Daphnia pulex: one gene and its partner. The protein of the gene in region 1 interacts with the protein of each later gene in a biochemical or structural test. Links are inferred from orthologs where the notes say so. Each region holds a gene or a part of one and is shown on either strand. Other genes may lie near its edges.

Region 1 (4,184 bases):
TTTCGGTGCTAGTGCTATTTCAAGTAATAGATTTTGTTATTAACCTTAACCATGCCATTTGGAATAAAACCTGTTTGTTTTAAATGCGATATCAATATATCAGAGATATGGCAAAAAAACAACGAAGGAAATACAGTTTGCAGCGAATGCTTTCAAGGGAAATTGACAACAACCGTGAAAACAGAATCTATTGTTATAGAAAAGGCGCCTTCACCAGAAATAAAATTTCAAGAAGAAGATGCTTATAATGAAACTATTGAAGTGGATGATGTTGTTGTGGATGAACTTGTGGATGATATAAAGCCACGTAATGAATTTGGCCCAGGGACCAGGTCAGGAAACACAACTTCAAACAGTAGAGGTGGACGCACAGGAACAAAAAAGACACGTGGAAGAAGCAAGAAACTAGGAACTGCCAATAAAGCAACAGTTGGCAAAGGACGTGGAAGAAGAGCTGTTTTCAAGAAACAGGTTAAACAAATCCATAAATTTGATAGAAAAATTAAATAGATTTTTCCAATAACTTTTTATAAATTATTCCTTTTTAAATTTTAGCTACCATCTAAAGCCCCCACTGTTGCTTCTACCTCTTTTACTAGTGGGCATTTGTTTCATCATGACATTTATTATCAAGTGGGGGACATAGTTTCAGTCACAGATGAAGATGATGGAGTTTATTATGCACAAATTCGTGGGCTTCTGCAAGACCAATTTTGTGAAAAAAGTGCTGTATTAACTTGGCTCATCCCAACTCAAAGTTCACCACCCCCAGATGTGGGATTTGATCCACAGACATATATTTTAGGTATGTGAATTTTATATTTTTTTTTCTGTACAGCATTAAAACAGTCTTGGTTTAGGTCCTGAAGAAGAATTGCCACGTAAGCTGGATTATCTTGATTTCGTAATGCATGCGCCGAACGAATATTACAAACTGGATGAAAATGTTCGAGTGTCTAGTGAAAAAGAAGCTGGCTATATTTGGACAAGTATGGGTGCCGTACGAAGAACTATTCATTCATGAAAAATTCCACCAGGATCATCCGTTTATAGTAGAATAGAAAGACCAAGGCAGCCGGCTCTTTTGTTCTTTGTGTCTTTTAATGCCATTACAGATTCGTTTGTAAAACAATTCCATCATTTCTGAAGTTTGTAACTAAAAATATTTGTCACATGTTCTGCTACCTCACTGAAATTCGGAGGAAGAGTAAATTAAATTGTTTGATCTGTTTTAAGTGTTCTTTTCTAAATTTTTAAGAGTTTTCACAATTTTAGTAAGATATTTTCGAAAATTACATGTCGGAAATTATAGAAGATTTTTTTACCTGCTTGCACGGCTTTCTTAAAAATAATACTTGACCATTCCTGCATTACGGCTTGCCTTGCGGGTAACAATGTTTTTAGAAATTATTTTGTGCTGAAATTTTGAGCTGAAATATTTTCTAGTCTACCGGTAAAAATGTTTCGATTATAGTGGTAATAAACAGTTCATTTAAAATATAATGATATTTAAAAATAATATCGATAATGTTAATGAGTTTTTCAAACTTGTATAAGTTGTATGGGTTTTTATTCATTCATAATACTAGCGTCATTCGAACTAATAGACAATTATAACTTGAAATCACCAGCGGGAATTTGTTATTTTAATTTGAGTTTTAATTCAAAACCTTAAAAAAGTTTAAAAGAACTATAACAAATTCGAAATCGTATAGTAGGTTCGTCAAATACATCCATTTTGTCCAATGGGTTTCTGATTATCACCCATAGAGGGCCGTGATTCTGTGAAGTGATGAAGTCGTTTCAAAATTTGGCGGTTACATTCCTTAGTCCAACGGCCGCCACCGTCTCTTTGACATCCAAGTGTGCTCACCTTTTCCTTTAAAGTCGAGTCTGTGGAAACACGTTGGGTACGAACTTTCTTTACTTTGTTAGATTATTCTCTGTTTATCGTGTAACGAAATATTTTATGCAAGAGTCTTACGAATCAATTGATGACAATCTGATTTGCAGGTGGAATACGAAGAATACGTCACTCCAGTTTTTGTTTGCTGCCATTCGACTTCAAATTTCCGTTACTTTCCCGAGATTTCAATTCTTCACACTTTTTGGTTTTTGTTCTTGTTTCTTAACAAACAATAGTGATGCCTTCTGCAATGGAAGACTTTACCAAAATAGAAAAGATCGGTGAAGGTAATGATCCCTGGTACACTAAGCTGTGTAACTTGAACTGATTTTAAAACTTTTGTTTCGCAAAGGTACTTATGGTGTTGTCTACAAGGCTAAAAACCGTAAGACTCAACAATTTGTTGCCATGAAGAAAATCAGGCTTGAAAATGAAGATGATGGTGTTCCTTCGACAGCCATCAGGGAGATATCACTTTTGAAAGAGCTGCTACATCCCAATATCGTCTGTCTGGAGGATGTTTTGATGCAAGAAGGAAAGCTGTATTTAATTTTTGAGTTCCTGTCAATGGACCTTAAAAAGTACATGGACAGCATTCCAACTGGGCAGTTGATGGATAAAACTCTTGTTAAGTCTTATTGCCACCAGGTTTGCTTAGAAGATTTAGGACTCATTTATATATTGGCCTGATTTATATTTTCCCTCTAGATTTTGGAAGGCATTTTATATTGTCATAGACGTCGAGTTTTGCATAGAGATTTGAAGCCCCAGAACTTACTCATCGATAAAAACGGAATTATTAAGATAGCTGATTTCGGTCTTGGGCGCGTATTTGGAGTTCCCGTTCGTGTCTACACTCACGAGGTAAAGGAAAGAAGGTTCCCAATGCATGGACGTATACTATAAATTCTTTTGAACTCACGAAGGTTGTTACTCTATGGTACCGTGCTCCTGAAGTATTGCTTGGGTCATCAAGATATTCGTGCCCCATAGACGTGTGGTCGGTTGGCTGTATTATGGCTGAAATGATAACGAAAAAGCCATTGTTCCAAGGAGATTCGGAAATTGATCAGCTTTACCGTATTTTCCGGTAGTGTTACTTGTCCTTTTTTTTTTATTTTTAAAATTACATTTGTTCCTATTTTATTTGAAACACAGAGTAATGAAGACGCCCACGGAGGAAATGTGGCCAGGCGTTTCAAAAATGCCCGACTATAAACCTACTTTCCCTAATTGGAATACTTACCACCTTCAAAATTCCGTGAAGCAACTTGACTCGATTGGATTTGATCTGCTTCAAAAAACTCTCATTTACGATCCAGCCCTTCGTATCACGGCTCAGGATGCTTTAGATCATGCTTGGTTTACCGATCTGGATAAATCTATCTTACCCACCAATGTGCCTGCTTAATTAAGCATTCCTCATGTAAACGATAGCTACTAAACCTGGCCAACTTCCTGATGGTCGTTTCTTGAAATTCTGTTTTTCGCTTTTCCTAATCATCATTTTTTTTGCTCTCTGAGAGAAGATGGGTGTGATTCTTTTCCTTGGTAGCGAAGAAATTTTCTTCCCCCTTGTGTACGTGTGACTGTATACTATAGTTTCCTAATAAATATGCTCACGAGGACTACATCAGAAAATTGTAATTTAATTGGGAGATGTTCATTTTTATTTTTTATATCAACGTTCTGAATTAAATTGTCAACAATGTGAGTTTTTCGTTCAGCGACAGTTGAGTCTTGGTAAGTTGTGATAGATATAATACCATCAATAAATCCTAAATTAATAAAGTTTTACAAAAATTAGATTAAATAAGTAAATATTGGGTAATGTTTTCTACCTTTCGGTTTGAATTAAGCATCTCTTCAAATTCGTCGGGTGTCATTTTAGGTACCGAATGAACCATATCTAATAGAGAACGACCAAACGTGTTGTCAGCCGTTTTGGAGCCACTCATTACGTCGTCAACATAAGCCAAGATAGTGTCCAGCATGTTTTCCATCTGCTGCGAGGCTTCAACAATCTGAGTAAGATCCGAAGCGATGCCCGCTTGACGTTTAACCGAGGTTTTGGTTTTCTGGCAGGCATTTACTGAAAAACAATCAAAGATTAATTCCCAGTATACATACACATTTTCTATTATAATTACATCCAATAGTTTCTGGGTCATAGCATGCTATCTCAACAGAAACAGGAGCAAACATGCATCCCATAGTTTTGCCTGTGATACCCATTGGGACACTAGATGATAATTTAAAGATAATTATTTTTCAAAGC
Region 2 (4,593 bases), on another chromosome or scaffold:
GGGTTGAGGTGTTAAGGTCGGCGCGGCGGCTGCAGCCAAACGTGTAGATCGACGGTGCGGTAATGTTGATGGCGTCGCGTTTCCACGACTTGATGATGGTGTGTTACAATCCATCAAAACCGTGGAGTTTACACACTTCGCTTGCCTAGCTTTTTGTAACGTCTCCTATAAAATAAACGAAAAACAGAATGTTAGAATATAATCCATTTGAAAAAATATTTCCCAAGCAAGCTACTTTCAAAACTAGATTGTAACAAACAAACATGGCGGTCCAAAAAATTTCAAAACTACAAGTGTGTGTATGGGGTGTGCGTAACGGAATCAACAGACGCTACGTGAGATTCTGGCGGAAAAAAAACGTTTTACTTGAATAAAAAAACACACATCTTCAATAGTTTTGGTTTGGCGAGCTGGCACCCTGTATGCGAGCAGCTACGTTTTCCTGCATTATGAAGCAATTGAAGCATTTGGACAGTACGAGAAGAAGTCTTTTGAAACGTAAAAGACACACACGTCAGGTGGTCTTGTCAACACTTACTGTAAAAACAGAATAAGTAGACATGACCGAAACGTCATGATCACTGGGCGTCGCATGAGGAGGCTGATTGCCAATTGCTTCAGTCAAGATCCGGCGACCAGGTCCCAGTCGTGCCTGAGGAGCCGTCTTTCCCAAACAAACATTCTGTCAGACTCGATTAACATAAGACTAGTTTGAAGAAATTCTTACCGAGGGCACCAATAGTTTCCTTTGCTTGGATTTTGGTGACTCCATCTGTGTGCGAATGGCAGTTGTCCCCAAGCGCCGTTTCATCGGTGTGTTGGGCTTAGCTCCTCCTTTGGCTTCTTCGACCAGTTTGTCGGCACGCTCTCGTTGCTAAAAATATTTTTAAAAAAAGTATGAATATTTTAAGCAACTTAAGAAAGATTCATTTCAGATTACCCTTTGGAGTTTTTCGTGCTCTTTTTGCTCCTCGTAGTTGACCCACTGGTCTACGACAACCTGACGATAGTCTTGGCCATCAATAAGCAATACTTGCCCATTTGTCCGTTCATAGTTATTGATCAACTCGGTCAGTTGGGCCTCTACCCGAGGGAGTTCCTGTTATTTATTTTAAAAAAATGTTCTGTGTAGCACATAATGATTTTACATCAAATGCTTTATCTACCTTCATTATCTTGGTGCGTTCTTTTTCTTCCTGCAAGAGCGCACATCCACGATTACCGAACAATCTAGACGGATCTTGTCCACGGGCCTCGATATCCTCCATGCGTTTCCATAAGTTCTCTCGATGATGAACCTAATGACAACAGATCATAATTAAGCGTACAGGAATTGACAAGTTGAAATTTAAGTTACCTTCGTGAATATGTCTTTATAAGACGTATGCAGCTCCTTGTACCTTTCTACCTGAGCTTCATGCAATTCAAGTAGATCTTCGGTGTATACTTCAGCATAAAATGGGGTAAAGTTGCGACGCTCGGCGTCCGAAACATAGCAGCGATCCCACCAACCAATCAAATCTTGTCTTACTGAATGAATAAACCTTTCGATATTTTGTCGTTTAAGGTCTTCCAAACGAGTTAGTTCACGTTCCAACTGTGAAATTAAAAACTTTGCATAAGTTTATTTTACTTAAGGGAAATTATCTAAAACATACTGTTGTGACGGTGGATGGAGCAAATCCACGATTCTGCATGTGAAATATTTCGCGAACATCCGGTTCAACACTGAGTCTCTCCCACAATATTTCAATGGTATTCCACATATCAGTTACTTTCTTCTGATTTTTTTCAATCCGAGAAATCAACCCTTGTTGGATGTCCTAGAATGTGAAAAGGTATACATTATTTACTGGTTCAACATAGAAAGTTAACCAAAACATACCTTGATTTTATTCAAATCAGTTTCTGACAACGATACGCTTTGCGGATCGCTCACAAGAAGATCCATTTCAAAAGGATTCCGTGCTGACATTTCTAATTGTGCCATGGAGTTCTTAATCGAATCTCTCATACTAACAAACTGTCCTTGCCTACACATTTATCATTAAGAAAAGAATTATAATTAGAATGTAGAAACTGTTTTGTAGCATTCAGGTTGTACTTACCGTTTTATGATTTCTGTTTTTAGGTCGTTGATAGCTTGTTGCAACTTGCCGTACTGGTCACTACTTGGAATTCTGTCTCGATTGAGGGAACAGCGTTCTGCATTCAATCTAGAACACAACACATCCTCTTCTTGAAACAGAGCTCTCACTGCTCTCATACGCTCCTCCTTTTCTCTGTTTAATGCAGTTAAGGTCTCTTGTAGCTGTTTCTCCATTTCTAGAAGTGGCATCTCTTCCCCAAATTCTCTGTAATGGGTACCTAACTCTTTACAAAGTTGGTGGTGTTGTCTTCCTAGACGATCAATGCTGCTCACTATCTTTTTCTTGTTAATCTGCTCTTCTTCAAGCATGGAATCCCATAATTCCTGCAATGGACAAAGAACATTTAAACTCAGAAAATAATTATGTGACCAAAGACTTTACTTTGTGATGAGAAACTGCTGTTTTGAAACGCTCTTGGCTTTTACTTTGAGGAAAGCCCAGTTGCTTCCAGATTTGGACCATTTTCGGAATTACATTTTTTAAAACTTGCGAGCCTTCTTTCAGGAACTCGTCCTCGAACGCCCTTGATAAAGAAGAATGAATCAAGTTAATTCCACCTCTTCAGAAAAAAGAAAACCTGACCAAACCCAACTTACTTGTCAACAGACATGTTGAATAAAAGCCTGTTACACAAAAAACTATAAAATTACTAATCTGTTACTGAACCTGACTCAAATCATTCACTCACAAAACGCCGATGCTGCCTTACTCAGTTACTTACTTACAGTTACTGGCACAATCGTCGGTTTGAAAAAAGGGGAATGGAAAAATTGAGAGGGTGAGAGTCGACTTCTGTGGTTGGTTAAAATGCTCTCACTAAATGTCTTGCCATTGGGTACATTTGAACATGCGCTGTTGCCGGTTTCTGCTTAATGTTACATCCGCCAGTTCTTTTTGAATTCCTTAATCTTTTCGGTTTTTTTAACTACATTTTAACTACACACGTAAAAATATTTGTATTAATAGTCTGACTAAATGATACCGTACATTCCTTCATTAAACATCTCTTGTTACTAATAGGAACTTGTTACGTTAATAGGAAAAACCGAAATCAAATGTTACCATTTTGCATTACATTACAATGGCGTTTCAAAAAATAATAGACAAATGGCACCTTTTAAATAAATTTTGTCTATACAAATAACAGCTATTCAAATAGCGGATATGTGATATATGTATTCATTTAGTTTATTGAACTCTTTAGAAATTTCTAAACTGGCTCCATATGAGACTAGTCGTCGTCCCTTGCAGAGAAAACAGAAAAAAAAACACAGGTGTTTGAAACAGTGAGTCAGTGAGAGTGCTGTGGCAATAGGTATATATATCACACTGACACCACGCACCACACACCAGTCGTTAACAAAATGCGTTCCATGTTGATTTTGCTCTGCTTCGTCCTTGCAGTCGCCTTCCTTGGTAATCGTTTTTTTTTTTTAATGTTATTTTAACAACTGCATCATTGTTTTCTCCTTTACAGTGGAGGCTGAAGATGTCACCGTCGGTAAAGATCCATGTACTTGGGGTCCATCTTTTTGGTGCGCTAGTAGCGAAAATGCTGCAAAGTGCGGATCTGAGGTTGTATATAACGATTGCTAAAATTTAAAGTACTGAATTTTAATTGGTTTTCTGGGCATTATAGGCATTTAAGTATTGCGAAAGTGTCAAGTGGAATGTCGAGTAGAGAACATTTCCGCGACAAAGGCCTGCATTATTATTCTATATTAACAGACATGCATTTCCGGTGAATGGATAATGGGGATTTACATTTTTAGCAATTGCATTGGTCATTTATCCTGTTTTGGACCGTTGTTACGCGTTAAGAACGGTGAAACAAACAAAAATCTAGTTCAACAATTTTATTCTCTTTTGTATACCACTTTTCTATTATTAATAAACATGAAATAGTCTTTGATTGATACAATGCTTCCATTTGTAGGTACGGGAAGTTGACAATAAATTATCTAACACAAATAAATTAAAACTTCCCGTGGTTTTCATTTATTTAATCCCATATATAGCTGAAAATAATGTTATTTAAAGCGTTCTCTTTTCAGTGTTACTCTGGAAAATAGAACTTTGCGTATTTCAAACGAAATATGAGGACCTTTATACTAATCTACTGTACACTTTATTTTAAAAAATAAACAGCACATGCGCATCGTCATCTGGTCTAAATGTTTCAAAAACTAAATAGAACATTCTAGAATATGACAACCGTTGAATAAAAACCCCACCTATATGTCGGAGCAACAGGTGTCAGAAAAAGTGAGTCAGTGGGAATGGGAACCAGGTGTGCCACCACTCACCAGGTCTGCGCTAACACACCAACACCAGTCGTCTTTCATAAAATGTACGTCACCTTTTGATAATCTCGAGTCTCGTGTCTATTGAGATCTTAACTAAAGAAAAGGTGACAAAATACAATTGGAGCTGCGATGCACGA

Evidence for each region. The genes of interacting proteins can lie anywhere in the genome.
Region 2: of the proteins of cyclin-dependent kinase 1-like (region 1) and protein regulator of cytokinesis 1-like, one has a biochemical effect on the other in vitro, tested with the Homo sapiens proteins (2 studies listed by BioGRID). The link is inferred for Daphnia pulex from reciprocal best matches to the Homo sapiens genes CDK1 and PRC1.

What each region holds. Positions count from the first base shown.
Region 1 is NC_060026.1:11,477,252-11,481,435, forward strand, and holds cyclin-dependent kinase 1-like, read left to right. Parts: upstream 1-1,759; 5' UTR 1,760-1,910; intron 1,911-2,013; 5' UTR 2,014-2,144; coding exon 2,145-2,193; intron 2,194-2,258; coding exon 2,259-2,554; intron 2,555-2,614; coding exon 2,615-2,770; intron 2,771-2,832; coding exon 2,833-2,996; intron 2,997-3,064; coding exon 3,065-3,317; 3' UTR 3,318-3,537; downstream 3,538-4,184. Other genes in the region: GATA zinc finger domain-containing protein 1-like, read left to right, coding at 52-471, 556-805, 861-1,024; eukaryotic translation initiation factor 3 subunit F-like, read right to left, coding at 3,601-3,684, 3,748-3,998, 4,057-4,148. UniProt on the Homo sapiens protein: Plays a key role in the control of the eukaryotic cell cycle by modulating the centrosome cycle as well as mitotic onset; promotes G2-M transition via association with multiple interphase cyclins.
Region 2 is NC_060020.1:1,303,188-1,307,780, forward strand, and holds the start of protein regulator of cytokinesis 1-like, read right to left. Parts: upstream 2,952-4,593; 5' UTR 2,839-2,951; exon of another isoform or gene 2,774-2,838; 5' UTR 2,761-2,773; coding exon 2,747-2,760; intron 2,674-2,746; coding exon 2,532-2,673; intron 2,474-2,531; coding exon 2,109-2,473; intron 2,034-2,108; coding exon 1,886-2,033; intron 1,839-1,885; exon of another isoform or gene 1,824-1,838; coding exon 1,659-1,823; intron 1,598-1,658; coding exon 1,358-1,597; intron 1,299-1,357; coding exon 1,167-1,298; intron 1,100-1,166; coding exon 941-1,099; intron 875-940; coding exon 728-874; intron 665-727; coding exon 539-664; intron 443-538; coding exon of another isoform or gene 389-442; exon of another isoform or gene 367-388; intron 166-366; coding exon 1-165. UniProt on the Homo sapiens protein: Key regulator of cytokinesis that cross-links antiparrallel microtubules at an average distance of 35 nM. Essential for controlling the spatiotemporal formation of the midzone and successful cytokinesis.